Arabidopsis thaliana: one gene and its partners. The protein of the gene in region 4 purifies or fractionates together with the protein of the main gene of each other region. This does not show direct contact. Each region holds a gene or a part of one and is shown on either strand. Other genes may lie near its edges. The genes, in order: AT1G06070, PMH1, AT1G48510 and LGO.

Evidence for each region.
Region 1: the proteins of LGO (region 4) and AT1G06070 purify together in Arabidopsis thaliana (affinity purification with mass spectrometry, with the first as the bait; one large-scale study listed by BioGRID). This does not show direct contact.
Region 2: the proteins of LGO (region 4) and PMH1 purify together in Arabidopsis thaliana (affinity purification with mass spectrometry, with the first as the bait; one large-scale study listed by BioGRID). This does not show direct contact.
Region 3: the proteins of LGO (region 4) and AT1G48510 purify together in Arabidopsis thaliana (affinity purification with mass spectrometry, with the first as the bait; one large-scale study listed by BioGRID). This does not show direct contact.

The regions. Positions count from the first base shown.
Region 1 is NC_003070.9:1,832,549-1,840,750, forward strand, and holds AT1G06070 (Basic-leucine zipper (bZIP) transcription factor family protein), read right to left. Parts: upstream 5,211-8,202; 5' UTR 4,880-5,210; intron 4,597-4,879; 5' UTR 4,569-4,596; coding exon 3,922-4,568; intron 3,699-3,921; coding exon 3,566-3,698; intron 3,482-3,565; coding exon 3,397-3,481; intron 3,060-3,396; coding exon 2,653-3,059; 3' UTR 2,281-2,652; downstream 1-2,280. Other genes in the region: AT1G06060 (LisH and RanBPM domains containing protein), read left to right, coding at 523-549, 872-1,013, 1,107-1,254, 1,338-1,413, 1,521-1,632, 1,727-1,818, 1,924-1,968.
Region 2 is NC_003074.8:7,883,677-7,891,903, reverse strand, and holds PMH1 (putative mitochondrial RNA helicase 1), read right to left. Parts: upstream 4,629-8,227; 5' UTR 4,523-4,628; coding exon 4,094-4,522; intron 3,994-4,093; coding exon 3,866-3,993; intron 3,778-3,865; coding exon 3,366-3,777; intron 3,233-3,365; coding exon 3,134-3,232; intron 3,032-3,133; coding exon 2,807-3,031; intron 2,726-2,806; coding exon 2,564-2,725; intron 2,476-2,563; coding exon 2,098-2,475; 3' UTR 1,751-2,097; downstream 1-1,750. Other genes in the region: NRPB5 (Eukaryotic rpb5 RNA polymerase subunit family protein), read left to right, coding at 1-7, 259-438, 530-643, 734-859; RPS10 (ribosomal protein S10), read right to left, coding at 5,291-5,674, 5,826-6,167; AT3G22290 (Endoplasmic reticulum vesicle transporter protein), read right to left, coding at 6,644-6,711, 6,796-6,915, 7,001-7,109, 7,290-7,436, 7,705-7,788, 7,881-8,005.
Region 3 is NC_003070.9:17,932,114-17,939,538, reverse strand, and holds AT1G48510 (Surfeit locus 1 cytochrome c oxidase biogenesis protein), read right to left. Parts: upstream 4,794-7,425; 5' UTR 4,651-4,793; coding exon 4,506-4,650; intron 4,421-4,505; coding exon 4,329-4,420; exon of another isoform or gene 4,243-4,328; coding exon 4,013-4,242; intron 3,771-4,012; coding exon 3,578-3,770; intron 3,488-3,577; coding exon 3,201-3,487; intron 3,105-3,200; coding exon 2,888-3,104; 3' UTR 2,593-2,887; downstream 1-2,592. Other genes in the region: JAZ4 (jasmonate-zim-domain protein 4), read right to left, coding at 5,106-5,211, 5,291-5,351, 5,453-5,720, 5,923-6,007, 6,102-6,265, 6,387-6,559. UniProt on the Arabidopsis thaliana protein: May be involved in the biogenesis of the COX complex.
Region 4 is NC_003074.8:3,278,630-3,284,766, forward strand, and holds LGO (LOSS OF GIANT CELLS FROM ORGANS), read right to left. Parts: upstream 3,503-6,137; 5' UTR 3,422-3,502; coding exon of another isoform or gene 3,392-3,421; 5' UTR 3,350-3,391; coding exon of another isoform or gene 3,334-3,349; coding exon 2,947-3,333; 3' UTR 2,677-2,946; downstream 1-2,676. Other genes in the region: AT3G10527 (uncharacterized protein), read left to right, coding at 3,047-3,349, 3,392-3,421. UniProt on the Arabidopsis thaliana protein: Probable cyclin-dependent protein kinase (CDK) inhibitor that functions as a repressor of mitosis in the endoreduplication cell cycle. Cooperates with SIM and SMR2 to promote endoreplication during leaf development.

The DNA of each region.
Region 1 (8,202 bases), on a different chromosome or scaffold from region 4:
GAAATAAGGTCCAAGTCCAACTAGTAATTATTATTAATAGAATTCAAAATAAAAATAATATTATTAGTTTGGATTTAACAAAAATTTATGATTATTATGACAAAAAAAATATATGATTATTTACTATGAATATTATAAAATAAAACTATATACCATATGATTTTTTCCCTAATCAAGTATGAGATTATATAATTCAAACTATAAGATTTTTTTCCCTTAATTTTTACACCTAATCAAGTAAAAAGGAAAAAAATTAGAAAAAGAAAAAGAAAAGTAATGTTAGTTTTTACTTTTTCCTATTTTTTTTTGTCAAAAATCGTCAAAATAACCAAAAAACATTAAAAAAAAATCCAAATTAAAATAAATAAAAGAACTTTTGTTTTGGGCTTTCCACATCGTAAACTATAATCGGCGTCTCTCCGGACTCACACCTCATCGAAATTTGGCCATCTCATCTGGCTTCTTCCCCTCCGGCGTTGGATAACCATCATTACTTCTCGCGCCGGCTTCGAGTGGAACAATATGGATCCTCGTCAATTCGAACACACCGTAAGTTTTTCTCTCCTTGAAATGTTTTATGACTTCTCTCTCGAGATTTCAGAATTGGAATAACGATCCTGCTCAAAGATGATCGCACCTATTTCATTTGATTGGATTATGGATTATTCTAGGTTTTCATGAGTGGATATGCATTAGTTATCGTCTTGTGTATTGGTGGTGGTTCTTAGTATGAAATAGATCTTGAGGCTTTTTATCCAGAATTGGAAGCTGTACTAATCTTCCTTAGTACTGCAGTGTTATATTAAGTTATTGGAATCTGGAAACTGTGTATAATGTGTTATTCTCTAAAGACTTTTCTTTTGTTAACCAGGTTGTTGCTGATAATGATATTCACAGCATTGTTATGTCATATCTTCTGCACAACTGCTTCAACGAAACTGCGGACTCACTTGCTTCTTCCACTGGAGTTAAGCAGCCTGCAATTGATCGTGATAACATGGAGAGAAGAAAACGTGAGTTGTACAAGTCATCTTTTGTTCTGCTGTTAAATGAGTGCTTATGCAATTATGTGATTATATGTTTTGATTGATTGTTCACTTATTCAGAAATAATACATTTTATACTGGAGAGGAAGGCGTTGAAGGCTTTTGAACTAACTGAACAACTAGCACAAGACTTGCTTGAGAAAAACAAGGATTTGCAATTCGATCTTCTATGCCTTCATTTTGTGGAGCTAATCTGTGCTGGGAACTGGTGAGATTTTATGATTGGTCTTCCATTAGAAACTCTGGTTTTATCTGTGCCTGTAATCTTAAAATGATTCTCTGCGTGTGCAGCACCGAAGCTCTCAAATTTGGTAAGACAAGATTGGCTCCTTTTGGGAAGGTCAAAAAATATGTAGAAAAGCTTGAAGTAAGTCTGAATCTTGTTTGATCCTCCATTATATTCGTCTTGATGTATTGGTAGATTACTTGTTATGTTCTTCCAAATGATGGTAGATTTGTTTTTTCCTGAGACAGGACGTAATGGCATTGCTCGCTTATGAAGACCCTGAGAAATCCCCAATGTTCCATCTTTTGAGCTCTGAATACCGCCAACAAGTTGCTGATAATCTGAACCGCACAATTCTTGGTCAGTTCTTTTTTATTTTTACCTCCACGAAAATCTCTACCGTCCTGTGACCTTAGCAAATTACAAGTTTTAACTCATTCTTCAAATTATGTAGAACACACAAACCACCCGAGCTACACACCAATGGAAAGGATCATACAACAGGTGACAGTTGTGAGACAATACTTGACTGAGGAGAATGGCAAAGTAATCGTAGTATTTCAGTATTTTTACTCATATATCTGATTCGTTGTAGAAGCCCTGGGAATAGTAGGTGCCTGTGTTTAAACGCTATTTCATGTCTTATGATAGGATGCGTTTCCTCCATTCTCTCTGAAGGATTCTCTCAAAGGCTAAGATCGCAGGACTACTCCAAAGTTTGCTAGGAGGAGGATATGCTAAGCATTGTCATGTAAATACAAAAAGACCTTGCTCCTCTCTAAAGTTTGCAAGGTTAGTCTTCCATGGCCACAGGCGGGGTTTCAGTTTGCTGTTACAGGAGATCAATATTGTGAAGGACAGTTTCGGCTTGGTTTGGTTTGGTTTGGTTCAGTTCTCTACCAGAAGATTGTTTCATCAACTTTGTGTGAGTTTAGTCGATAAATCTGTAATCCATATCTTTGGAATACACATTTCTCTTTGTAACTATCGTTTATGTTTTGATAGAATACTTGCAAATTCAAGGTTTTATTTTTAGACATCACAATTCAAGACCAAATGAGACTTTTCAAGTAACCAAAATGAACAAAAGGCAAAGAATATGAATATGGTTAAACGACTACAGACTTGGACTAAGGACCCATTTCTAACCAAATGACCAAATCCAAGAACTTTTTAAGAGCTTAGGATCATACAAAGAGAAGATTGTAAACTACCAACAGACGAGAACAAAAGCTTCACTAACAACTTCTAAATCCGCAACTTCTAAGCTGTCTTGTTTTTAACTCTATAATGCAGTAAATCCCAAATCCATGAGCCTGCGATGAAAAAGAAGATTTTCCAAGAGTAACTTACTAAATTGGACATTAGCACAGTCTAGACTCAGTCTTTTGTCAAGGGAGTTTCACGATCAGGCGATGTCACACTCTCTTTCTGACCAGGAGAAGGCATGGGTCTTCTTAGCTCTGAAGCCCCGCTTTGTTGTTCCTGTTGTTGAAGCCGTTGCTGCTGCTGAAGCTGGTACAGTTGCTGCTGTTGAAAGTGAAATTGCTGCTGCTGCTGCTGTTGTTGTTGCTGGTGTTGCTGTTGTTGTTGTTGCTGTTTCTGTGACTGGATCTGGAGCTGCTGTAACTGTTGTGCGGCTAAGATAGTGTGCATCGACTGATTATTGGGATAGAATTGCTGGTTTGATCCAAAAGAACCGTAGTTCATTGATGTACCATTTGATGGACCTTGCCCCGTCAATACCTTAAGATGCTGGACTTCCTCCTTTAGTGCATCATTTAAAGCTGTCAAACAGATAAAGACGATTAAATCAAGTAGCAGCATTCACAACAAAGTGCAGCGAATATCTCGACGGGGGACAAATATTTATAGACTTTCTTAACCAGAGAAATGGCATTGAGTTTTGAAGGTGTATGTTTATGTGTTATTCAAGATTCTGGATCTGTATTTTAAGCTTTGTATGACCACAAACATGGCATACAATCTTACACTGACAGATCCAGAATGTGGTATGTCATATATACTACACCTTCGACAGTCATTGACAATGTTTATTTGCATTGATAGTAAAGAGATGAAGAAATATCAGCTCCTAGGAAGTATGTGAGAAAAGATCCTCACCATCCTGTAGGTGGACCTGTTGCTCCATAGTTTGTACTCGCAGTTTAAGCTCATTGTTTTCAACACCCAGGCCATTTGTATCTCTCTGAACACAAGGATGAAAAGAGAACAAGATTACAACCATAAACTTACAAATATCTTAGTCTAGAGTTAAATTTGGTCTCCAAACCTGTAAGAGAGTCAACTGGGCTGAGAGAGATGTGGCCTCTGTTTGTAAAGTCTGTACTTTTCTCTCGAGCTCTGCAATGTATCTCATCTTCCTTTCTTTTGACCTCGCAGCAGACTGCCTGTTTGCCCATATCCTATCAAATGATACAACATGTCACGCATCTTATACAAATTCATTACTAGTTACCGTAATTTACGAGTGAGCTACTTCTAGATGAAGGGTTATGTAAAACTCCAACAGATCAGTTCAGCCAAGCTTTATTCTTTTTAGTCAACAACCCTAGATAATGTTTCACCAAAAACTATACAACTTCTTAAAAACATAGAAGGAAAACTGTTCAGAAAAGAAAAAAATACCTCTTGGCGCGTTTTGGATCAATGAGAGCAAGCTCAGAAAGTTTAGCAGCAGAGATGGCTTTCTTAGAGTCAACTCCAGACACATCTTCATTCCCTGACATAAGCATCTCAGGCTTGATAGTTGTTGAACCATCCATCGATTGGCTGTGTTGGTGTCTAATTCTCGGTCTTTCACTAGAGCTACCGGGTGTACTCTGAAGGTTAGAAGTCGAGGCTAATTCATTCCTCCAAGTCGGTTCTGATGGCTCACCCATTTGAGAAGTCGATGTAGCAGAAGAATTGAATTTTTCCATATCAAGATACATATAGAGTAAGTCCTCGTCAGTATCATCAGAGAAAGAAGGTCCATCAGCAGCACCAACCACACCAAGATCACTATCAAAGCTTAAGTCATCAGGAAGAGTAAGAATCTCTGAATGAGCTCGGCGATGGCCTAGGTTCTTAGGTGGATTATCCGGCATTCGGCTAATATCATGGCTGAATCGGTTAGCATCTGAGCTATTGCTTCCACTTGGAGTCAAAGGAGGAAAAGATGATTCAGCTTTCATTGCAAAGCTACTTCCATTAGGTGAAAACGCAGAGTAACGACCCGATGGTGGAGGAAGACCTCCACTAGGTGGTGGTGCAGGAGATTTCTCCTTATCCATTTCAAGAACTTGACCTAAACCCACTAATCTGCATACCATTTATTCCCGAAAAAAGATAGATTATATTCCATACTAGAACAGATTAGGGTTTCATCTTTAGCTATCAAATTCATTTGAAACAATCACACGCTTTATCTCAGCGATTATATTCCATATTAGAACAGATTAGGGTTTCGTCTTAGCTATCAGTTTCCTCAACTAAGGAGATACACAACCCTAAAACAATCACACGCTTTATCTTAGCCTTAATTCAAAACGAAAACCCTAAAATAAGTAAAAAGATAGGATCTTTTGAGTTTTCACGCACTTACAGAGATCTAATGAGAAGCCTCCAGAATCCAAAGCAGAATGTCCAAAGAGAGATCAACGAGACACAAAATTAAAGGTGAAGAAAACTTGAAATTTGAAAAATCACTAAATCAGAGAGATCCGACGAGAGAGGAGGAAGAAGAAGAAGAAGAAGAAGAAGAAGAAGTAGAACATTCTCTCTCCCATTAAAGGATCCTTCGAACTAGTGTGCATCAGAAGATTTACGGCGTAAACGATGTCGTTTAAACGTAATTTGGTTCGGGTAAGTGGTACTTTTGTCGGAATTAGGGTGTAATCAGCTGCGTTAGCGTGTTGCAATGAACGATGTTACTGACCGTTGGATGATGATCAATATGTCTGGTTGGTTCGTGAAGAGCGTAAATAAATTATTTTTGTCAAATTGGTTCACGTGGTTGCTAATTTTTGGTTGGACCGTCGAGAGTTGCTTGCGAATACTACTACTATTTTTGATGACTTTCTAATTTTTCTTTTATAAGAAAATACTAACCAGGAAGTTATAACCATGTGATATGTTTTCAATATTATTAATGCTGACGTACGATTTCTTTCAATCATATGAAAATCTAATATTTTAAAAGAGAAATGAAAGAGTTTGAAACCATTGCAATTTCAGTTTCATAAAATATATGTTTCTTACTATTTGTATTTGTCAACGCTCTTATAAGTACTGTGATTGTTGTTGATTTCTGGATAAGGGAGCATGGGGACTAATATTCTTTGAAAATAATCTAGAGTGGGCCATCGTTTATGGGCCGCATGGTAAAAGATAGGGCCCATAGTACTACTACCCATCACACTTGACCGACCTCTCTCACCCATTGACAATTGAATGGGCGTGTTTACTCCTCTCAACAACCTCGTCTGGCCATACTTCAATTCAATTCCTAAAATTATGGGATTTGCAAATTATTTGCTAGAAATATTTTCATTCTACCAAAAAATCCGGATATTCGTAATAATCAAAAGAAAAATAAGTAGTAAAATATATAGTGTTTTTTACAGTGAATTTTTCTGCATATATTCTCACGTGACCTTGTTGGCTCTATAGTCACAAGTTAAGCCTTAGGGGGTACCCATAACCCATACGAAATAAGGCAGCAATATGATGCCAATTGAAATGGTCAGGCAAGTATATATACAATTATGTTACTCACAAAGGATTCTCAAATGAAAAAAAGAAAATGGTTGAAAAGTTCCATTATAGATATGTAGTTTTATAGCAGAGTACGTAATGTAGTTTTCTACAAAATAGGTGTTATTGCACAGTTTTAGGGTTTGGTATCGTCATATATTGTTCGGCTTTTTTCTTACTTGGAGAATTTAATTGGACCTACATTTCGCTTTCGTATTAAATAATTCTAAATACTTACTATTTTTCTGGTTGACGGGGATGTAAAATTTGAGTCTACACTCTAGAGTCTGCTCGTGCATGTCGGGTTTATTTGTATTCATGTTACTTTTTAGTTGCTTCATATGTTTCTGTAGTTATAGAAAAATGCTTGTTTTCATGGTAGATCAAAGATACATAAAACAGTAAAACTACCTGCTCCATTATGTACATAGAACAGCGTGTCCATTTTTTTGTGGAGATCAAGATGATTAACTAAAAGCAAGAAAATCAAACACTAAGCAAATTGAGATGTCAAAATGGTAACCAAGATTGACTGGACCATATGTTATTTAGCTAGTTAAAGCATAAACGAGAAGCAAGACCATTATTAAGTACGATACACTAATTAATTAGTAACATTGTTAGAAAGGTGCACACAAAAAAAAGTAACATTGTTATTTTTCTTCTGACCTTACCCAGACTTGTTCAGACATCAGGTTTTTACCAACAACCTATTGGGTCTCAGGTTATTCTTTGAGTCCGATTTTTTTTTTATCGTCATAAAAATATATTTGAATTCCTTTCATTACTTGTCAGGGAAAATAATAATGATGACAAAAGATCATATGTTTTTTTTTTACTTTTGCATATTTTTACTTCAATGTTTTTATAGTCCAGTAAAAAAGTAGCAGTGGAGGTTCGAATCAATGGCGAGGCATGGCCTTGAATGGTGGCAAAAGAGAAAGAACCGGATTGGACACCGACCCACATCAGATTTGTCATTAGGATCCCAGAAACAGAGGAAGCCTCATTGAGATCTGTGATTCGTCATTTACTACTTTTTATGTTGTAATTAACCTTAATAATAGGTTAATATATATAAAACAAAATTTGTGTTACTGGTGAATGGTAAAGAAACAATGGGTCGGACCCCTTGTGGTTTTTGCAGGTGCATCATTGACTTTTTGGTCCCAAATCTAATTAATGTCTTCTGTAGTTATGACGTTGAATCTATCACACTGTGGCCTGTGGGTTCTCTTACAATCTACGAAATAGTTCTTTTGTAGTCTATAGGGTTTATACATTCTATTATTTTATTTTCAAATCTCCTAACTTATATAAGTTATAAGTGAATTCAACTTTTAAGTGAATTCAATTTTTAAGTGAATTCATGGAGTATAAGTTATAAGTGAATTCAATTTTCTTTAACTTATAACCTTTCTGAAGTTTTTTTGAACCAAATGATTTTTAAAACTGCTAATATATTATAATGCCCGATAATTTTAGATGAACAAAAATGCTAGTTATAAAACATCGATAAAGAAATCAGCTGAGATAGACAATATTTGCCGTTTCATTAATTACTTTGCATGTATGAATAAATTTCACAAGAACTCGATTTTTTCTTTCTAAGCTGAGTAAATAATGTTTTCGTTGTTACGATGTTAAGACTACGAAGATGTGGATGGGTTATCATTCTGTATGGATGGGGGAATACATTTTGTGTAGAGATGTTTCCATGGATCAAAAGTCGTTTTTTCATTGTTATTATCTATTCATATTTTGATCGAGATACAGATAACCTCAAACTTTAACATACGCGGTTGTGTGTATTTGTGTATATACATTGCATAAACATAAAACTCACTTTTTATAGATTAGTGATTATAATTAATACGGTATGGTTTGGTACTCGAAGTTGAGCTGCCTAGATGGCCTGATTTCCCCTGTACCGCAAATAATTTCATTTCTTTAGTTTTTTCAATCATTTCTAAACTTTTCATATCTGAATGTATAAAGTTTTTTTTGGTTGTAATAAAGTTACATTACAAGAAAAGAAATTGTGGATATGATAATTTTTTTCTTTCGCTCTATAGTATATTATTTATATGGACATAAGAAATACTAATGAAATAGTATATTTTCTGCTATTTAAAGAAAAGCAAAAATATACTATTTAATTAGTTTTTTTTT
Region 2 (8,227 bases), 4.6 Mb from region 4:
TGATCAGGTTTGTAGTTGTATGTCTCTCCTTCAATGTGATTATCAGCTTCTCTTTAGTGTTCTTTAGCTGGAGACTATCATTATTTATCTAGTTGTTGAATGTGAATAGTAAGTAGACATGGAATGTTACAGAGAGCTAGATTTTGACAAAAGTATAGATAAATGTCATCTCTTTAATCTCTAAGAAGCTGTGGATATGGTAGAAAGATTGTTTATGTGTGTTTGATTTAGTCGCTGATTCATGTGCTCTTGTTGTAGCTCTATATATTCTTCCCTGATGAGGCGAAAGTTGGTGTGAAGACGATGAAAATGTACACGAACAGGATGAAATCAGAGAATGTGTTCAGAGCTATTTTGGTTGTGCAACAGAACTTGACCCCGTTTGCTCGAACTTGCATTAGTGAGATCTCTTCTAAGTTTCATCTGGAAGTTTTCCAGGTAAAACAAATCACTTTGTGTCTTGACTCTTGATGATGATGTATCCACATCACAATCCTACTAAACCATGATTTGGTGGTGGATGCTGCAGGAGGCGGAAATGCTAGTGAACATTAAAGAACATGTTCTTGTTCCTGAGCATCAAGTTCTTACCACTGAAGAGAAGAAAACTTTACTGGAGAGATACACAGTGAAGGAGACACAGGTTAGTAGTATATAGAAACTTTGTTTGAATTCTTGGTGATGAAATTTTTGTTGTGTTATTAAATGTTTGGAACTTTGTGGGTGTTGTTAGCTTCCAAGGATCCAAGTGACTGATCCAATCGCAAGATACTTTGGACTAAAACGTGGGCAAGTCGTGAAGATCATTCGTCCGAGTGAAACGGCTGGTCGTTATGTTACCTATCGTTATGTTGTATAAGCCAAAGCAAAAGGCTTTTGTGGATTGTAATGCGAATTGAACGCTGAGAGTTGTGAAACATAAGAGTAATGCTTTTGTACTAAACCAAACTGATGACTGTGTTTTATTTTTGTTTGTCCGATAGGAGAAATTAAAGCTTGAAACAACTTATTTGTATTAGTTTTCTATCCAAAAACTTGCAAGATCCGATTCCGACTTGTTTGTATTTGTTCATCCCAACAAATGCCATATTTTGTTAATAATCTGATTCATCACTTGTTTGTCGATAATCCCCATTCCTTAACACCCTAAAAAGAAAAAAATCGTAAATATCAATTTTTAAAATGTTCAAAACTGATACTTCTTCCAGAGTATTACTGACTTCAGATCAGCTGTGGATGAGTGTTGACGGTTGTACAGGCGCCGTTCTTGAGTTTTTTTCAAAATGTCTCCAAATGGAGAAGCTGGGGGATGGTGTTGAGATGGCTACCATTGATTTGCATGCCCTTGTGGGTGGTGTTGACTGTTTTACTCATCTCAATGATTCTTATACCACCACCTGAACGCCTTTCAACGTTTATGGGATCTCAGCTTTGTAACCCTCAGAATCACCAAGTATGTGTACAAGAACCCGTTCTTGGGCCTATAAGACTGGATGAAACTAAATCTGGATTCACTGCAAAGGGGATCACACCCAAGGAGCTTGGTATTATTATGCTAGCTATGCAGAGCCAAGCCTTTTCGTTCAGCAGCTAGTTGCATGCTCTTGCTATGCAGTGCATCAAGTTTTGCGAAATGAAGGCTAATTAGTTGTGAAACATAAGAGTAATGCTTTTTGTAGTGAACAATAATTGTCGACTGTGTTTTATTTTTGTTGGTCAGATATGAGAATTAAAGCTTAAAACAATTTTTCTTGTGTATGGTTCTACCAAAAACTTGCAAGATCTAACAAGAAATCAAAACTAGGGATGATTTGAATCTTTGATCAACCACATTATTTCCTTTTCTCACAATCTAACAAGATTCATAAATGGAAGTGGCGAAGTAAGGGAAACACATTTCACTCAAATTGAGAAATAAAAATGAATTAGAGGATATGAAATAATGATATAACTTATGTTGGTTTATGAGACAAGAAGTAGCTACAGAATTTATATATAGCTCGACTCCTTGTAAACTACTCAACTCGAGATACCGAGTTCTCTCCTAAGTCAACTCCATTATTGCTGAGTCGGGTCAAAACCAACACAACACTTCTCTCAGTAAGATCTTTTACCATCGTTTGATCCAAACCCACCAAAGCTGCTCCTTCCACTTGACTGAGAAGAACGGTCTGAACCAAATCCTCCTGAAGAACCGCCTGAACCAAAGCTTCCGAAACCAGATGAGCGGTCTGAACCACCAGAGTAACGGCTGCTTGATCCCCCTGAACCTCCATAACTACCACCACCACCACCTGAACGGCCACTGCTGCCACCATAACCTCCATAACTACCACCACCTGAACGGCCACTGCTGCTACCGTAACTACCATACCCACCACCGCCTGATCGACCTCCTCCGAACGACCCACCAGATCTAGCACCTACTCCTTCAAACATGCTTGCGCTTCCTCTTTCCACAGCAATGCTAGGCAGCTGAATTCAAAACCAAATAGATTCAGAACTGTTTGTTACCCAAGCTATTCATACAAAAGATACAAAGGTGGTAAAGAAAGATATTAACCTCATTGAATCTGCTTCCGACTTCTTTCTCAATCATTTTAACAGCCCTGGTTTGATCTTGACCGTGGATGAGAATCGCGCTTCCTTTCTTTCCAGCACGACCAGTTCGCCCCGTTCGGTGAACAAACGTCTCCGTGTTATTAGGAAGCTCATAATGAATTACCTGTACACAAAGCACAATACAGGTTAATAAAATGAGAAACAGAACTAGTTAAGCGCAAGAAAAGGTATTGTTTTCACTCACTAAATCGACATTAGGTACATCAAGTCCACGGGCAGCAACATCAGTTGCAACAAGAATACTGAAATTCCCATCCCTGAAACCAGCAAGTGTTCTTTCTCTCTGAGCTTGAGATATGTCACCGTGTAAAGCTTCACATTTATAGCTTTTTGCCAATCCAAATGCAAGGCGATCTGCATCACGTTTTGTTTGGGTAAAGACAATGCATTTTCCTCCTTTGCCATGTTCCTGTAAAGGAGAAGATGTTATAAAATCACGACTGGAAACAAAAATGAAGAATCAAAACAAGATACAGATAATTGGCTTAAAAGCAAAGTAAAGAAAACATACCTTTACAAGAGGACCAATGATGGATGCTCTTCCATAAGAATCTGCAGCGATAGAATACATAGTAATCCCATCTGCAAGTTTCTGATCTGAATCTCCAACCTAAATTACATAAGAGTACATGTGTCATTAAAAAATGTCACTTCATTAACTACACTGCTACAGCCAAGATCAATATTTGCAATTTGTACAGCAATTCTAAGATATAAACACAAGCAGGTATAAGACTACTCACAAGATCAATTGTCAAAGGATTGTTCAGGTACTTCTTGGTGAGAGATCTGATCCAACTTGGCATTGTTGCAGAAAACATCATACTCTGACGCTTCGCTGGCAACTTCTGCAATATTATTTCAACATCTTCCGCAAATCCAACTTGAAGCATCTGATCAGCTTCATCAAGAACCACAAACTGAACCTCTGATAGATTCAAAGCTCCCCTTTTCATCAGATCAATGATACGACCAGGAGTTCCAACCGCCACATCAATACCATAGTTCAGCTCCCTCATTTGTTGCCCGATTGGTGTACCTCCATAGAGACAAATAGTATCCAAACTTGGAGCAGATTCCCTGAACTCTTTCTCAACCTGACGAGCAAGCTCCCTCGTCGGTGCCAAAACCAAGCACTGAGGATTCTTCCCACGACTGTCACATCAAAAGACAACATAAGAACCAAAGGAAGTGCAAATCTCTCAATCACAAATGATCGTTATATATAACAGTAAACACAAACCCATGTTTAGCGTTGAATTTGATGATTTTGTCAATAATAGGAATCCCAAAAGCAAGTGTCTTTCCCGTTCCAGTCCTTGCACGGCCAATCATATCACGACCCTCCATCGCTGGCTCCAACACAGCTTTCTATTCAACCAAACACAAACATCAAAAACTCAGTTAAAAAAATCTAAACTTTTAATTGATCTCTATAACCAAATGGAACAGAGAAGAAGATCATATATACCTGAATAGGAAAGAGTTTCTCAATACCCCTACCCTTCAAAGCTTTAACAATCTCCGGAGATATACCAAGATCAGCTATCGCAAGCCCATCACCACCACCGCTGCTACCAACACTCTCCGAATCTCCAATCCCTCCATCGTTCTCATAAGAAGGAGCATACTCTTGAGCCGCGAATCCCGCAGAAGAAACAATCGACGATCTAAACTCCGACGGTACAGATTTAACATGAAAGTCTCTCACTTTAACACCAAAAGGGCTCGAATTCGAAGGGAGAGACTTGACATTAGTAGCTCCATTTGCTAGATCGGAGACTGTGGCGGCGGCTGGAGCAAGGTTATGAAATAGAGCTGCGTTAATGGAGGTCACCGAAGCGGCGAGAGTACGCCTTGACGTACCAAGGATAGATCGGCGAAGTACTGTGCTAATCATTTTCAGATTTCAGAGAGTGTGATGGATTCTGGTGAAGATGAAATGTGAAACCCCAGAAATGAGAATTAGGGTTTTAGGGAGACGGCAAAAGGGTTTAGAGATTTAAGAAGAAGAATCAAAGGCGGGTATAAAGGGAACTTTGTTATAATCACCTGCGGGTGAGTGTATGGTATGTTCCTACACGTGCAAGCTTGTGTAAGGAAACAGAGTTGATTATTATTTTTTGCTTGAGCCCAAAGGTGTTCTTGAATGTGAAGCAAAGAGTTAATGAGTTCTGTTTTTTGTAACTTTGTGTAGTGTGGCAAATTGGCAATAGCTCAGGTTCGGAATCAGATCTATCAAATTAACCTATACCATATGTCTCAAATCATTAGTGATTATGTACAATGTAAAAGTCTTAGAATTGCCTAATGAATGAATACACCTAAAATGTGAGCTCTTGGATCCTTAAAGTTCGACATCATTCCATGGTCGGGTCAAAGGTTTCTATAACTTCTCAAAATGACACCTTTAGCAGTCTAAATGTGTCTCAATCCTTGGTGATGTATAAAGACTTTGATTGGCTAATGAATAAATGGAAAGCACTGTAACTGAAACTCAATTGTATCTTTCAAAATCGTCCAAAAACACATGTTTATACTAAGCAAGAAAATAACTACTTGATCTGATGTGAAGCAAAGCTGGTTTCATGGATCCGTAAGGTTCGAAATTATTGCATAGTACCCGGTTGGGTCTTGAAACTTCTACAAAATGATGTCTTTAGCCATCTCAGTAAGCATTGGTGGTGGAGCCATTGATGTTGCCTAACACTTGAGTCATATCCAAACGGGTCTTGCAATGGAACTGGAGTTCATATTGAGCTCCAAGAATACGATAACGTTTTAACCAAAACAGCTTCTTGCTCAACTCATGACTCTGAGCTTTGATGACAAGAAACCGTTTCTTGAACCTCATCTCAAACTGTTCTCTAGACTTCTTATCGACGTGAGGCGATCTTAGCACCGTGTACAGAGTTCGTGTATCGGGCATTGCGACTTTACGAGTGTGAGGAGGAAGACACCAAGCTTGCTTTTCCGGGTTAACAAAAGACCGAATCGCTATACAAATCTTTGTTCCTTTTATCTTTGATGTGCTTTCTTCTGCTGCCTCTTTCTACAATTCAACCCCAAACACACAACAACAACAACATAAACAACAGTTCTAAATCATTTCAATGAATTTCACATTCCGATTCCTATTCGAATTTGAATCTGATGAAGCACTTTGAATAATATTCTATGAATTTGAACAAAAATGCATATACCTGGAGAGCGATCTCCTTCCTACTCAATGGTCTGACATTGTCTGGAGAAATTTTAATCTTAGCTTTCTTAATCTCGTTTTTGCGATCCTTTGTGACAGTGGCGTAACCTTGTGACGCGATTCCTGCGGGAACAATCATCGACGGCTCAGATCTAATGTGGATGTTCCTCGCTCTGATGCCAAACGAGTTAGGAGACGACGCGAGAGTGAATCGAGAGCTGACGGAAGCTCCGGTGGTGGCTGGAGTGAGATTGTGCGAAATACACGAATTGAAGGAGGCTAACGCGGCGGAGAGAGTCTGCCTCGACGGGAGTGAAGATCGGCGCAATACTCCGGCGATCATTTTCAGATTCAACGGTGAGACGAAGAAATGACGACGAGAGATTGAAGGAAATCTGAAAAACCCCAAATTAGGGTTTCAGTGAAAGAGTAAGCGAAATCAGAGAGAATTGTGAGGACAGGATCACCTGTGACGAGTGTACGTTATCTTACGGTGAGCTACAGTATAATTTTGTTTTTTTACTGAGACAAGTGAAAAGATGCAAAAATGTTAAAATCCCAGGAAGCAAGGTGAATAAAAATTACAAATTAACTCTACTAGTTTAACCAGAGATAATCAGAGTAATACATAAGAGAGACTCAAAAAAAAACTATATCCATGGATTCTAGAGTTTCTGAGTAATGTAATCATCAATCCTGGAATCTCTGGTGGGTGTTGTTGTCTGAAGAAGGCAGATACAAGTTTTGGGATTTGAGAGATTCTTCTTCCTTCCTTTGGTTTTTTTTGTTTCTCATTGTTTTGTCTCTGTTTCAGCTAGTTTACGCTCTAGTACTCGGCTTCTTGTTGAAAGATTCAATAAAGCGGAACATCCAACGATCTAACATTCCTGTTTTAAGGTATGAGATAAACTATATTAGGCAAAAGATTTTGAAAGATTGAGTATTGGAGGCAAGACTGAGATGGGACTAACCTGTCAAAGCAAATGTACCGCCTAATACAGCGCAAAGACGAGTGATTAAGTGGAGAAAACTACGGCGTTCTTCCTTGATGGTCACAGTGATAGGTGAAAGATCATATAAGAAGTAAACAGCTGGAAGAAAAAAAGATACATCAGAAAACAGAAAGAGAGTAATAAGAACCAGGTGCATACTGGAAATGAAGTTTGATCGACTAACCTGGCCATGTACGGTCGAATTCAGTCATTGGCGTGAAATATTCAGTTACAGAGTACTGATTTGTTGACAGTACGTCTTTTGAAAGATATCTATATTCTGTGGGAACAATCTGCGCCATATTAGAAAGAATTTAGTGACCTTACCTTACAAATACGGATTTGTGTGAAACAAAATGGATCATACAGGTAAATGATTTCAAACTTCAAAGTAAACAAATAATGAAGTATATAAAATATACAGCCAGCGGAGAGATACGAGTACAAGAAGAGTAACGAATTTGGATAAACACCTTAATATAGTATTTGAATGTTCCACTGGTGTCATGGAGTATTCGGTTGGTGTCATCAAGTGGGTTGTGAATTCCGGGGTATTTCGGCCCAAATGATAGATCGTGAATCATATGGCTCACGTTTACGTTTTTGGACCCGCCAAATATCTGTTCAGAGAGTAAAGAGACTAGTTATATACTAACAAGGAATATCAAGTAGTAAGTCAGTGAATGAGGTGCAAACACAAATTATGAGAGTAATTTATCGGTTATTGATAAGTTAAATTCTGGCTTTATACTTTCTCTGTTGACAAATCAATGGAAACAAACGTCAATAATGATCATACGGTACTAAATTAAACTACTTTAACGAATCTGAATTTAAAGCATGTTCTTAGTAAGGGGATGGTTAATAAAGCGAGATGAGGATACCAACCATCTGAGCAACATAGATGTTCAGCCCATGAACTGAAATATGGAAGTTTCCGGCAACCCGTTGTACATCTAGGACACCATAAACCTGGAAAATAGCCAAATATTAGTCTCTGTTTTCTTAAACGCCGGGAACACAAAATCTCTAGTTTGTGTAATGACAAGAGAAACGGTTAATACCCGACATCCTTCTCCATCTGCCAATGCTTGCTTCACTTTTTTAATCATAGTCTCAGCAGCTTGGTCAAAGCCAAGAATATTCAATGCTTCGGTTTCAGTCTCATTCTTGTGTTCTTCTTTGCCATCTTCAGCAAGCAGAAAAGATAAAGTGTATACATGATTAAGTCTTTCTTCTTATACCCAAAAACATTTAGCTACCATGAAAACTATCGCTGGGGCTCTCTTACATATCTACCACTCACCTTACTAAGAAGCCTCAATTAGACTTGTAAGATTCCTATTAATATTTGCTTGGAAGCACAAAATTTAGAGTAATTCGGTTCTCCAGATACAACATACTTGATTAT
Region 3 (7,425 bases), on a different chromosome or scaffold from region 4:
CATAAAATTTTGGGAAAAGAATTATGTCCATGTATTAAAAAAAATAATTGGACACTGAAAAAACATCAAATATCTAATGAAAAACCATAAGACTAACCTTTGATTAGATGATGCGATGAGACGTTAAAGGTGAAGAGTATTTATAGGCAATTGAGTTATGTCTCAAATCTCTTGGTAGCCAAACATAAAATATTTGATACCATAACTAAATTGGAATAAATATATGTAGTGGTTTTTTAAGGAATATGGTACCAATCTGATATTGAAGAGTAATAAATAGTTTATATAAAATTGATTTAATGAACATTGTGGAGAAATAAATCATAGATTTTATACTGGAGTAATTTGTTAAGATCACACAAAATAATTGAGATTTTATTTTTTTTGAAAGAATGTAAAATTATATTCAAACAAAAAACGTTTATACAATAAATGCTACTTCATGCTGAAATTTAGAAGAGAAGTAGAAACAGAGTTTGACATAGAAAAACAGAACACTCGGGCTAAGAGGACGAGCGTGTGGAGAACCAAAGCTGCAGGCCATCCTTGTAACGATGGTTGCTAGTGGCTGTGATTGTGCTGAGACGGTTCCGTACGGTTCCATCGATTAGCTTGAGATTTTAAAAACAATGAGTCGAGATATTTTTTATTTTTCATCAAATATGCTAAATCTTAAGAATTAAATTCAATAGCATTCATTCTTCCATAAATAAATAGTGTAGTAAACCCTTTATTGATTTCCCAAAAGTCATCAAAAAAAAATATATATATATATAAAATTCAAATATTATAATATTTGAAATTTAATAAAAGTCTTAATACTATAAACATTTAAAACGTTTATAAATAAGAGCTTTGGTAAGCCAAAACCTTCTTCTCTTCTAAGCCAAGAACTGGTCTTCTAGATCTTGTGTCAGTGTGTCACAAGTTTGTTTATACCAGTGGGTCCAACAAAGCTTAGAGAGGCTATAATAGAAATTGCCAAATATTCTATAAAGAGAGCTGCTCATCGATAAGTCCCTTGAAAACTCCAACGAAGATGGTGCAAAGTTTATTGTCGGATTCTTAGCTCAAAACGTTTTTCCGATGTGAGAATGCCAGGATGCATGTAGTCTTATTTAAAGCTTTTGTTACACATATACAAGAGTTAAGACAAATAGATACAATTTCCAAAACTAAACCTTCCTATCAAAATCTGAAGAAACAAAAGCTATACACTATACTATAGTTACGATACGTTCATATATATACTCAAAATGGTCGGGGTCTAAATTTGTCTTAGTGCAGATGATGAGCTGGAGGAGAGCTTAATAACGCAATCGGACAACCGTGTTCAATAGTCTGTTGATGACTTGTTGTCCACGTAATAGGGTGATTCGTTAATGACCCTGCAAGAAAACAAAAGAAAACACCAAACAAGCTCAAGAAACGTGTTTTAATTACACTTAACGAATAAGTACACATTTTTTGGCAAAGTCATGAGCTGCTGGTTCCAAGAAAACTTACAACAAATAATCTGTCATTGTAATAGCTGAATGTTGTTTTACGGGAAAAATGTCAATTAATCCCCCAACTTTCAAACAATGGCTATTTTATACATCAACTTCGTATGCGGCCGTTTAAAACATGAACTAAACGTTGACTAACTTTTAAAACATGATTATTCGTTGACCATGCCAAAATAGACATGCCGTTATCAGTCATTAACGGAACTTCTAACATCCGTTATCATCCGTTAACGACTTTATTAGTCAAGTTTTAAATTGTGGCCATTTTAAACACCGACTTTATATGTGACTATTTTAAACATGAACTAAGCGTTGACTACCATTTAAAACATGAGAAATTCGTTGACCAAGCCAAAATAAACATGTTGTCATCATTCATTAGAAGAACTTATAAAATTCATTATCACTTGTTAACGACTCTATTAGTATCCCTAAAACGACTTTGTTTTGAGAATAATCAAAAGATTCTAAATGAAACCCCAGTTCCCCAAATCTATTTCTACAACCGCTCAAACAAGACGAACAATCTTATAATGAGTCTTCAATTTGCTTTCATGATTCCCTTTAAAATTTAAAACAAATATATAAACGAAAACACCTTTATTTGCTTCCAATTACTGGCACTGCGATTATCTCTTTATCAAACTATGTTCTTGGGTTCTGCTTAAAACTTTTGATATGGAGATTTCATATGGAAAAAATCTTTGTGTTCTTTCGATTATTCTCAAACGACGTTGTTTTGGACAGATTAACAGTTATTATTTCTAGGTTCTACTGATAAAGAAATGTCTATTTTGGCCTGGTCAACGAATGTTTCATGTCTTAAATGGTAGTCAACGTTTAGTTCATGTTTTAAATGGCCAAATAAGAAGTTGATGTTTAAAATGACCACAATTTGAAACTTGACTAATAAAGTTAACGGATGATAAAGGACGTTAAAAGTTCCGTTAATGACTGACAACGGCATGTCTATTCTGGCCTGATCAACGAAAGATCATGTTTTAAAAATTAGTCAACGTTTAGTTCATGTTTTAAACGGCCACATACGAAGTTGATGTATAAAATGACCATTTTTTGAAAATTGGAGGATTAAATGACATTTTTCCCATTGTTTTACTGATAATACAAATGAAGAGTACAAATGATGATGTTTAAGATGCGAGATGTTTCTAAGAGATGAATACATACGGGAAAATTGATTGAATACAAAAAGTTCTGGTTCGTAATAAAATTATCCCATTTATCTCTCTTCTCCTTTGCTTATAATCAAGCTCACAATCCATATCCTCTCTGCGATCTTCTGGTGGCCACCGATCTTAGTCAATCCGAACCGCGATTTCGAACTTATTCACCCTTCATTATGGACTTCATTGGGCATGTCATTTGACTTTTCCTGTGTCGAGTTTAGTGACACACCCAACACCAATAGTGTCTATTTTACAAAATAAGTTACGAAGACTGTATATCTTGGTACATATAAAAACGAGAATGGAAATTGGAATCAATATTGGCTCTACACCAATAGGATCAGATTTTGTTAATCTTCGCATTAAAATCGAAGACGCCTTAATAAAGCAAGTCAGGGAACTCCAGTGCCTGCATATAGAAACAATCAGGCACACTACCATAAACAAACAAACAAAAACAACCAGTTACTAGTGCAATAAGTTCGATGTTATGTTTGTTAATTACCACAAAACTGTGTACAAGTGATAGTCCAGTGGTATATCCTTACTACGAGTCAAGTTCTCAACGTCTCTTGGAACTGGATAAGTTCTACTTTCATCCATATCTGTGTACGTACTCTCTATATACATTGTGTCCTCACCAAACCCCATGGCTAGAGCTAGTTTAGGAACGTCAAGGTAGAACCACGCAAGCGAACTTGGATAATTTACTAGAGTATATATGCCTGGAGTTTCACTTTTCCTAACTACACCCACCACTTCCACATGCATAGCCCTAGAGACTTGGTCCTGCTAAAAAATATTCCAATAACACTTAACTATGATATCAAATCATGCAATGAATGATTGAGTACTCATTAAGTTTATGAAATGAAGACCAACCTCAACAATCATTGGGTTGTTCAACTTGTACCAGAACTTCGACAAGAGACTTTGTTGAGAGGAGAGAAGTTTATTAGCTTTTCTTGACTCTTTTGCAGCAGCAACAAGACCACCAGTACCTAGAGATTCTAGAGAATTTTCTTTCCAATCCGAAGGAACCCATCCGCGATTTACTAGAATAGGGGACTTCATACTAGTGACAAAAGGAAGAAGAAAAAGATAGTTAGACCATGTTTGTTTGTTTGTTTGTTTTGGTGCATTTGTATGCAACCTTATTTGTAAGAGACACAAAATTTGCAAGTATTTGCATCTAGTCTAGATGTTGCATCCAAACACTTAAATATACAAGAAAAAAGATATTTGCATCAAGATGGTATATATGGAGATCAAAAAGACTTTAGTTTGGTTTGCGCATATAGAGAGTAAATCCCTGACCTATTAGGTTCATTAGGGATTGGCAAAAGAGGTGTAATGACATAAAAGCCAATTTCAGAACTTTTAGACATGGATCTAGGCTTTGGACCCACATAGATCGATCTTTGCTCATCGAAAATGCCTTTGCATACCACCCGTCGAAATCCTAACCCATCCAAATCTTTCGTTGTATTCAGCTTCATTGGTTTCATTTCCAAGCATTGTTTTCTAGAATCAAGATGTTCCTTGTACTTGAAACAAAAGAGTTTGAACAAATTCTTTAGCAGATCAAAGAACAACACGTATAATTAAAATGTATATAATGAAAATCACAGACCACTTGTGTTTGTAGGAACTTATACGTCTCACCGAGACCATAAGTAGTGAATCCAACTAAGTACCATAACAACGCTGACCCTCTTTTCTTCTCTGCAAAACATTTTTACACAAAGATTCAGAACCAAGATTCAGAACTTAATCACAAATTAGACGAGAGAGAGCATGTGCAAGATACTTGCGGGTGGTGGAGCTGAAGAAAGCAATTGGCTCTCAAGATTGGAAGTTTGTGAAGCAGCAGGGAGATTGCTAGTAGTAGAAGAAGACATGTACTGACTTTGAGAAATCAACCTCTTAAATATCTTGGAAACGAGTTTTGTCATCTTTTTCTCCTCCAGGATCTTCTCTTTGTCTCATCCAAGATTCTTGATCTACTATATATGGCGACGACGACGAGGACTGATTAAGTATATAAACTAATGTTTTATTTTCTGATATAGCACATGGCACCAACTAATTAAATGACTTTCATCTGCTGGTGGAAATATTTTATATCAATTATCGAAAAAAAAGTATAAACATAAAGTTGACTTCAACAAAATCTAGAAGAGCTTGAATAGTCTTACTTTTATGTTTTTTATACACATGCAAGAGTAAAGACAAAACATACAGTATCCAAATTAAATTTATAGGATATATATAAATAACTTGCTTTTACAAGCCCAGTGTACTAAAATCTGAATAAACAAAAGCTATAACAACTATACTATAGTCTATAGGATACAGAGCCAGAGAAAAAAGAAAAAGCCTTTAGAACAATGAGGGGTCTAAATTGGTTTTAGTGCAGATGATGAGCTGGAGGACAGCTTACACATTCAGACATCAGTGTTCTACAGTCTATTGATGACTTGTTGTCTACGTAATAAGGTGATACGTTAATGACCCTGCAAGAAAACGAAGCCAATATACAGCAAACCTGTGTTTTGATATTGTGAATAAGTGAATAATCTTGTAGCTCAGTACCTTTCTTTGCGTTTCTCTAAGAACCGAGCCAAGGATGCTTTGCGTGTTTGTGGTAAACCCACTGTATTAAATCATAGCAAGATTTTTTGGTTATAACAAACTAAACCTAAGATAGAAGTTTGATGACAAAACATTAATAGGAGTTAAGACTTCATTTATAACCTGTTGGAGCCATAGAGAAGGCAGCAGTTTGGTTGTTGCGCGTGGATGCTAAACTCGCCTTTGTTTTTGTTGGTCCAAGTCCAGTAACCCCGTTGGATCCACTACTTCTGGTTTCAGAGACAATGTAAGAGATGGAAGGCAGGAAACTAGGAGGCATAGTTGGAGGATCAGTGGTTGGAAGAGAGTGATGAACCAGTTTTTGAGGTTTAGGTTGTGAAACCGGTTTAGCATGAGGTCCATTTCCGGCTAGCAACATGATAGCTTGGGCCTATGAATACAAAATAAATGAAGAAGTAAGGACAAAGATTTATCATATCTATGAATCATTAACATACTGTATGTTGAAACCAGGTTAGTAACTTTCTATAACTTCAGCATGTCTATACGTGAAACTTATTTCTTTGATTGAATACTTAGTCAGTGGATAGCTTGGACTGTAATGTAACACATATTGAAGGAAATTTGGTTACCTTTTCAGGAGCTATGTCTTGGTAAACTAATACTGAACCGGCATAAAAGATTGTCAACTGAGGGGGAAGTGGTTTTGAAGAAGATCTGGAGATGAACATAAAGGAGCTCGAGTCAACTATAGAAGTAAAGAGGTTCTGTATCTGATGTTAAACAGAAGAAGATAGAATGCAGTGCATGCCTAATAGTGGTTGGAGCAGGAAATACTGAAACTGGAGGTGCCATGATAGGAGATCCTCCTAAATGTTGGTGGTTTATGAAACTGTTGATGTAGTTTGGTTCGGACATGGAGACTGTGATGGTTGTTTGGTCTTGCTGACTGGAACCTGGGAACACTCTGTCTTCCTGAGATCATTTTGTATCAATTTTGAGACCAGAAGAAACTAAACCAATTGCCAAGCTTTCTTACAAGGTCACTAAATCACACTTTATCACTACTTTTTTTCTTTTCAAGAAATAGCCTAACCTGTAGTGAGCTGAAGTAAGTTCTCTGGTTTTGATCCATTGCAGCAGAAGAAAGCAAATGATCATTGACTGTGTTTACACGCGTTTCTTGTTGGGATGTCCCAAAAGAAAGAAACTGAGGACCAGAACCGACTTTGCTTGAGAATGACCAATCCATCATACCTCTACTTGGGGCTGAAACATGAGCAAATGTCTTTAGATTTTATCAAACTAGGAAACACTCAGATCTAGCTATGCTAAAGTGGACGACTCTTAACATTAGATTCATCAACAATGAACAAATCTGCATAAAGCCAAACACACTGGGGAAAATAGTGATCATACAAATACTTTCAAGAAATGGCACGTTTCGGAATATAAAAAGACAAGAACTAACTATTAAATTCCTCGTGGGTAAGTAAATTATTCATCCAAATTGTAACTTGATCTAAATTTAATACCCAACATGATCCTAACTTAATCAATGAGTCTACTTGGATAGAAATAAAACTTAATCAAGTCACAATCAATCTTGCTTTTATATAATTCAACTTGCATTTGTTGTTAAATCTCTAATCGTCAGCCGGTCGCTATATAACGCATTCTTTTCCCAACATTTCACGTCTTCGTTTTTAAATAATACTGATAGAATTCAAGTTGCTTAATAAACCTTAAAAAATGGCATAAACTTTTCAAAAAGAATAACCAGCCAATGTTCTAATTCTCAATATTCAATCCGGCTTTGAAAAAAACAATCTTTTCTAAAGAAGATACTATTGTATTGAAACCAATTGATCAATTTTGTAAGCAACAAAAAAAATATAGCATTTTTGTTCTGTCGGTGTCGGCTGTTTGAAGAAAAAAACGAAATTATTTTGAAAACACTCAACATTACCAACAGCTTTAGAAACATGCATCACCTAGTCACCTAGAAAATCAAGTTTGTTCTCTGAATATTATTTTTCAAAGATAATACTAACACTTGTTAAATTACTAACGTCAACAAGTTTGGTGTTTGCTTGTATAGTTGTATACTTGTACATTTGTAGTTTGCAAAAAAT
Region 4 (6,137 bases):
CATTAGTGATCAGAAAAAAAGAATGAGAACCACATTATTGGGTGCTTTTGAAAATAGATTCAATGTCACAGAAAAATAAATAGGAACTTAAAAACATCAATTGCCAATATATATGATAATACCTTGTGTAGCTCGTCTATTGACTTTTGGAGAGCATAAAACTTATTGCTGGGTCTCCCGGCGAGCCAGTTAACCAACATGGTACCAGCGATGAACTCTGATCTCCTTTTACCAAAATCCAAACAATCAAAATTCGTTTTTCAAAACTTAAATCGACAAAAATTAGGGTTTAACCTAAAAGGCTAATTAAGACATTAGTTTCTTGACAACAACGGGAATAAATTAATTAGCGTAATATATCAATTTCTTTTACGTTTGTAATATGCTCCCTGAAGTTCGAGATAGCAAACGTGACGGATGCGAAGACCTGACAGAAATCGAACCTTTCACTAACTATAACGCATGCGGTTTCTGACTTTCTTGTTTACACTAGAGTAAAGTTTGTATGTAAAACTCTACGGATCTTGCCATTTGCCTTGGATTAAACCGGCCCGGCCCGGCCCATTACCAAAAAGAAAGAAAGGTCTTTCGTCCCCCCACTGAAAACAGATAGAGAGAAATAGTAATTATTTTGGTTTTGGTCTTCCTAAATTTGTTTTGTCAAAGATGTGTTAAACTTTTCAAGCTTTAAATTGATGCTATTTCTCTCTACAGAAACTCAGATAATTAATAAAGAGTTTTAGGTAAGAAAACTTTCGTTTCGAAATTACTCCCAGAGCGACAATTCATCACATTCCCTTTGTTAGACCACGTAACGCATGAATCAAGAAATGTTGTAGCTCCTCTTCATGCGACATGATGATGATACCATATGACTTTTTGTTTGTTAAAAAGTGACAACATGGTATATGTACACACTATTTAACTTCTATTAAAGAATACATATCTCAAGCAATGATAGAATAAATGAAAGAAGAAACTGACAATCATGAAAGAAGTAAAAAAGAATAGCTTGTGTTGCTTATTGGATGAGTTGCGTAGACATGGCTCCTCCTTCGTCGCAGGACCATCGTATCATTACTATATATATTTAATTTCCAGTCAATTTTACTGGTCTAATGAATAACGCCCATTAATTCCATGTTTTGGTCACAGAGCCATTTAATTACTCTATATGTATTTAATTTCCATTTAATTTTGTTGGTCTGGTGAGTAATCGCCTTATCTTTCTGTCCGCCAATTAAAGAATTTTAAGTTTTTACTTCTAAAAAACAAAAAGGTTGTTGAAACTTGAAAGAGATACACATGCATGAGGTTACTGGTTACATATTAAAATGTAACACATGCAATTTACTTAGCGAGTCTACCACAGTACCATGCATTTACTAAATAGTAAATACTACAAACATTAATTTGGTGTATCGTTTTGTTTGTATTCATTGCTAAATTTTACTAAATAACAACTGTAAATTTTGAAAACAGTCTAAATTAAAACATGTTAACACTTGCATATTTTCTGGTCATGAAACAAATTTTCTAAAGGGTGATGATTTTGAGATCATAAAGAAATAAAGTAAGAAACGATGAGAATCAACTTCGATATTAGAATTCTTTAGGAACATTTTCTTTTAATATCTTCAGATCCCAAAGTTGCGTCCGCCGCTCTATCGGCCGGTCAAAAAAGTCATAAACAAGCATGAATTACAGATCAATAAATTTGATTACAATATAACTGAGTTTTGTACATGTACATGCTTTTTCTATTGTACAATTAGAACATTAATTTAAAACATACTATTTCCGTCAATTAATTTTGTTTTAAACATATATTTTCATCAAGGCTTCATTTTCTTTGCGTTGTTGCTTTCACAATTACACGTAGGACACGCAACTGATACATCTCCTACCAAATTAACACCTAAAAACTTTTAAACGCCATTAGCATTTTTGATAACCCAATTTATTGCTGTCATTAATATTACGATAGATTTAAAAAAAAATCCTTCTAAATTTAACATCTTACAGTGAAAACCCGCTTATATTCAAAGTTTCAAACAGAGTATATTTTCGAAACGCTACACAATATTAATGTTTTTTCGACTGGTATCTTATGTAATTGTGATTTCTTATGTACATCAGTTATCTAACTGAGAAAAATATATATTGTGAGAGGTACCAAAGCGTTTTCGGTTCAACCTAGATGAATGAAATTGGAATCTAAGATACAGTAACATAATAAACGTTAAATGTACAAATATCGACTTGTATATTAAAAAATAAACTCTATGACATTATATTGTTTGAGACTATACGAGTAATAGTTATCTTTTGATTTGATTGCCATCATATTCTCACATAAATGCAATGATTTTATATTTAAAAGAACATGTACCACCCATTGCTCATGAAGCAAGCAATGCTTGATCACTAGCTAACATCACTGTAATTTAATATATTGATAAATAACTTTTTATCAGGCGACATATATACAAAAGTTTGTTCAAAGATTTCATATACATGCATGCGTCATATATAACACAATTTTTTTTTTTACCAGGAGATATTTTGATCCTTCATATTGGCTGCGGATATTTTACATCATATCGGTCATAGTAGGTAAACGCGTTCTTCAACTTTAGAAGTCGACAATATATGTTTTGAAACTATTTTTTCCATGAAGTTGGATGATAAAACGATCTTGTCTCTTATAAATGACATAAATATCACATTATTGTATAGAAAACTTGGCAATTGGAATTAAATTTCATTTATTACTCAATTTACAACATCGACCCCTCCATGCGAAATTAATATGCGCGGTTGCAGAAAATTATCCATCCATATTCATAATTAAATTAAAAATATTTAAAACCGAACACCAACAGATAATTAATTTCACAATATTTCCAGTAAAACTGTAAAAAAATGTAAATATTGAATTAAGCCTCATCTTCGAGAACAATAAGGGTAACTTCTCCGCCGTTTAGCCGTAGTCGACGTCTCATTGTAGACGGAGGAGAAGAAACGGTCAATCTCTTCCCGATTCATGATTATCTCACAAGTCGACACTAAAAGCTTCCTCTTGCACGATCTGATCATCAGAGCCGCCGTAGCCGACGGTGCTGACGGTGGTGGCCGGGGTTTTCTCGGCGGAGGAGGTGGAGAGTCTACGACGGCGGGAATCTTGTGTTCTTGGGATGTGGGTGTGCTGCAGCGGAGGTCATCTTCGTCGTCATCACCTTCGTCCTTCTTTGTTTTTGAGGTTTTGGATCGGATCTTGATGGGTGTTGGGAAATTGAATTTGGACAAATCTTGTAGTAATTCAAGATCCATATCTAAACTTGTGTATGTTTTTGTTTTTTGGGAAACTTTTTTTCTTTTGTGGATGTAGAGAAAACTTCTTGGAGAAGTGAGAGGTTGAGAAGGGTTTGTTATATGTGTTTGTGTCTTTACATACACGTATATACATACATAAAGTTAGAATGTCGCATTTAGAAATGAGAGTTACTTTTTGGCATGGAAAACGAAAATAAAATATAAAATATAGTATGGAGTAAGTAAGGTAAAACTATATAAAATGGGAAGGGAAAATGGACGTAACTTCCGAATTTAGAAAAAAATATATTATTTACTAGGGATGGTAAGTTACTTGTATAGTTTGTATGTATTTGTGTTTATGTACAAAACTAGCTAGAGCACATGTGATTCACAATTTGTAAGGGTTGCCTAATTTTGTTAGTGATTGCTTAAAACCTTTGGGATGACCTTAGTAAGATGACTAGCTATATTAAGTTTTGTACTGTAATATTTGTTGAATAATAAAAAAAAGTGAAAAAAATGACTGGAGATTTCCCAAAAAGTTTACAAAAGACAAATGAAACTCTAAAGTTTGGAAGTGCGAGTGAATTAAGGAGGGCCATAACTCATGAAACAAACGCAAATGGTGTTCTCGTACCATCGGTCTCCTATCTAAAGACGTGTGGGTTATGGTCTCAACAAGAACATTAAAGTGTGTCTATATAGAAACTTTTACTTAATAAAAAAACTCGAACCATCAAAGTAATAGTAATACCATCTATAGGTAGTAAAGAAAAGTACACACATATATATACAAATTTTAGATCAATGTCTTATCTTAGATCTCAAACATAAAGTTTGGTTAAATGTGTGTCTTGTACCTATTACAAACCTAAAAACATGGCATGTGATTAGATTTAAAACTAGTCCATGCATCATTATATTTTATGTAAACAATTGATTGCATCAGTTTCTGTATCCTCTACTTTAATAATTACTTAATGTCCAATGTGAGAAGCTGTATAATTTTTATGTGACATTATGATTTCAACATATACGGTGGACCCACAACGTTTTACACGCCAAGTTTAATAATGTAGAAAAAAATGTAAGCCTTTGCCATGCCATAGAACAATTATTAGACTTGTAACATGAGTTTGCTTTGCTTACTCATCCTAAACACTTTGCGTTTTTCAACTTAATGTAAGATCTACATTGGTTTACAAAATCTAATTATTAAATTACAACCGAAAAATAGATTTGGTACGATTATAAATTTAGTTTATACTTTGCTATACGTTGTTGATGTTCTTTTTGTCTTCATTCTTAGAATTATCAGTACTCTTAACATGTACACAAACTCGCTAAGCTAGCTGTATATTTATGTAATTAATTATTACATTTGCTGAGTAATTTTACGGCAAAATATGACATATTTTGGACATGCCACGTAGAAAAGCATGTGATGATGATATATACTGTATATAGAGTAGATCTGTGTAAGTGAGTCAGTGGTAATATCTAACTAAAAAAGTACAGAAATGGAAAGATCTATATGATCTCTCTCGCAGGATCTCAATCTCTGGCCCTTTTTTTTGTCAACCCTTCTTCCTCTCTTATTATGTTCTTCTCTCTCTTTTCTTTTGGTTACTGTAATTTGTTTTTTTGTTTATTGACATTGACACGTTTTCTTGCTTCGATTTTTACGGAAAGAGAGATATGTATATGAGGAATTAGGATAAGTCGATGTAATTTTGTAAGGCCACGAAACCATACGATCACAATCAAACAATCTGTAGCATTTAGAATCCATCAATTATAATCGATGTTGAAGTTTCGGTGGTCCAATATACTTACGGTTGTTAAAACTTTGGCCAAAACGAATCGTCTAAAAGCAATACCAGATTTAAATGGAATGTAAATGGAAAAGGAATCGAGAAATAAGAACAACTGATCTTAAAGTCTCACAATGTCCTACAAATTAAAAATGCACTTGTAATAATAGTAATAATAATTAATTATATTAAAAAAACTCCTTGCAATAAAATCATAATTTATGTAATTCAAAATAGATCTTGTCTGAATTAGTTTCAACATATTTCCTAGAAATGCAAAGATTAATGAACAAAAGCAGGACATATATAATAAATCAGATTAGAGAACTTCTAGATCTAGTTCTATTACTTAGTCAATCGATTAAAAGTTCTATACACTCAGAAAAAAAAGGATATATATTCATAATATAGACAGTTTAACAACTTGAGTTGAAGGAAAGATTCTCACATATATTTTCGAGGCATAAGACACGATGGCCCTACCATTACAGGATGATAACAAGGAACGAACATTGTAGACACAAGAATCACTGTTACAGGTTGGTAACAAAGAAAACGAACCTAAATTGATAAGAATGAACGTGTCTTTTTTTTTTTTTTTTTTGGCAATCCAAATTTTGTTGCATATGCATAGGATTCCAAATCATTTCTGTTTGTTCTTTTGTTTCGACCGTGTTTTTTTGTTAACTTTAAATTATATAAGTTAGATGCATAAAATTAGTACACACCCATATAGAAGAAGACAAATAATCATGTGTCTATCACATGAAATTAAACTGTTTGAGTATATATATTAGACCGGAATTTAATATGTAATTTTACTAATTAAAAAATGCTTTCAAATTCGTAATAAGTCGCAAATCAAATTTCGTTGTTACATTTTTAAAAGAAAGTATTTCTTCTTTTCAAGGAAATATTTTTTAAACAAGATCAATAAAATACGTATTCTAAATATAGATTAACTCTCTTGTTCCATGTGTATCTGTGTTTGGTGATGTAAAGAGC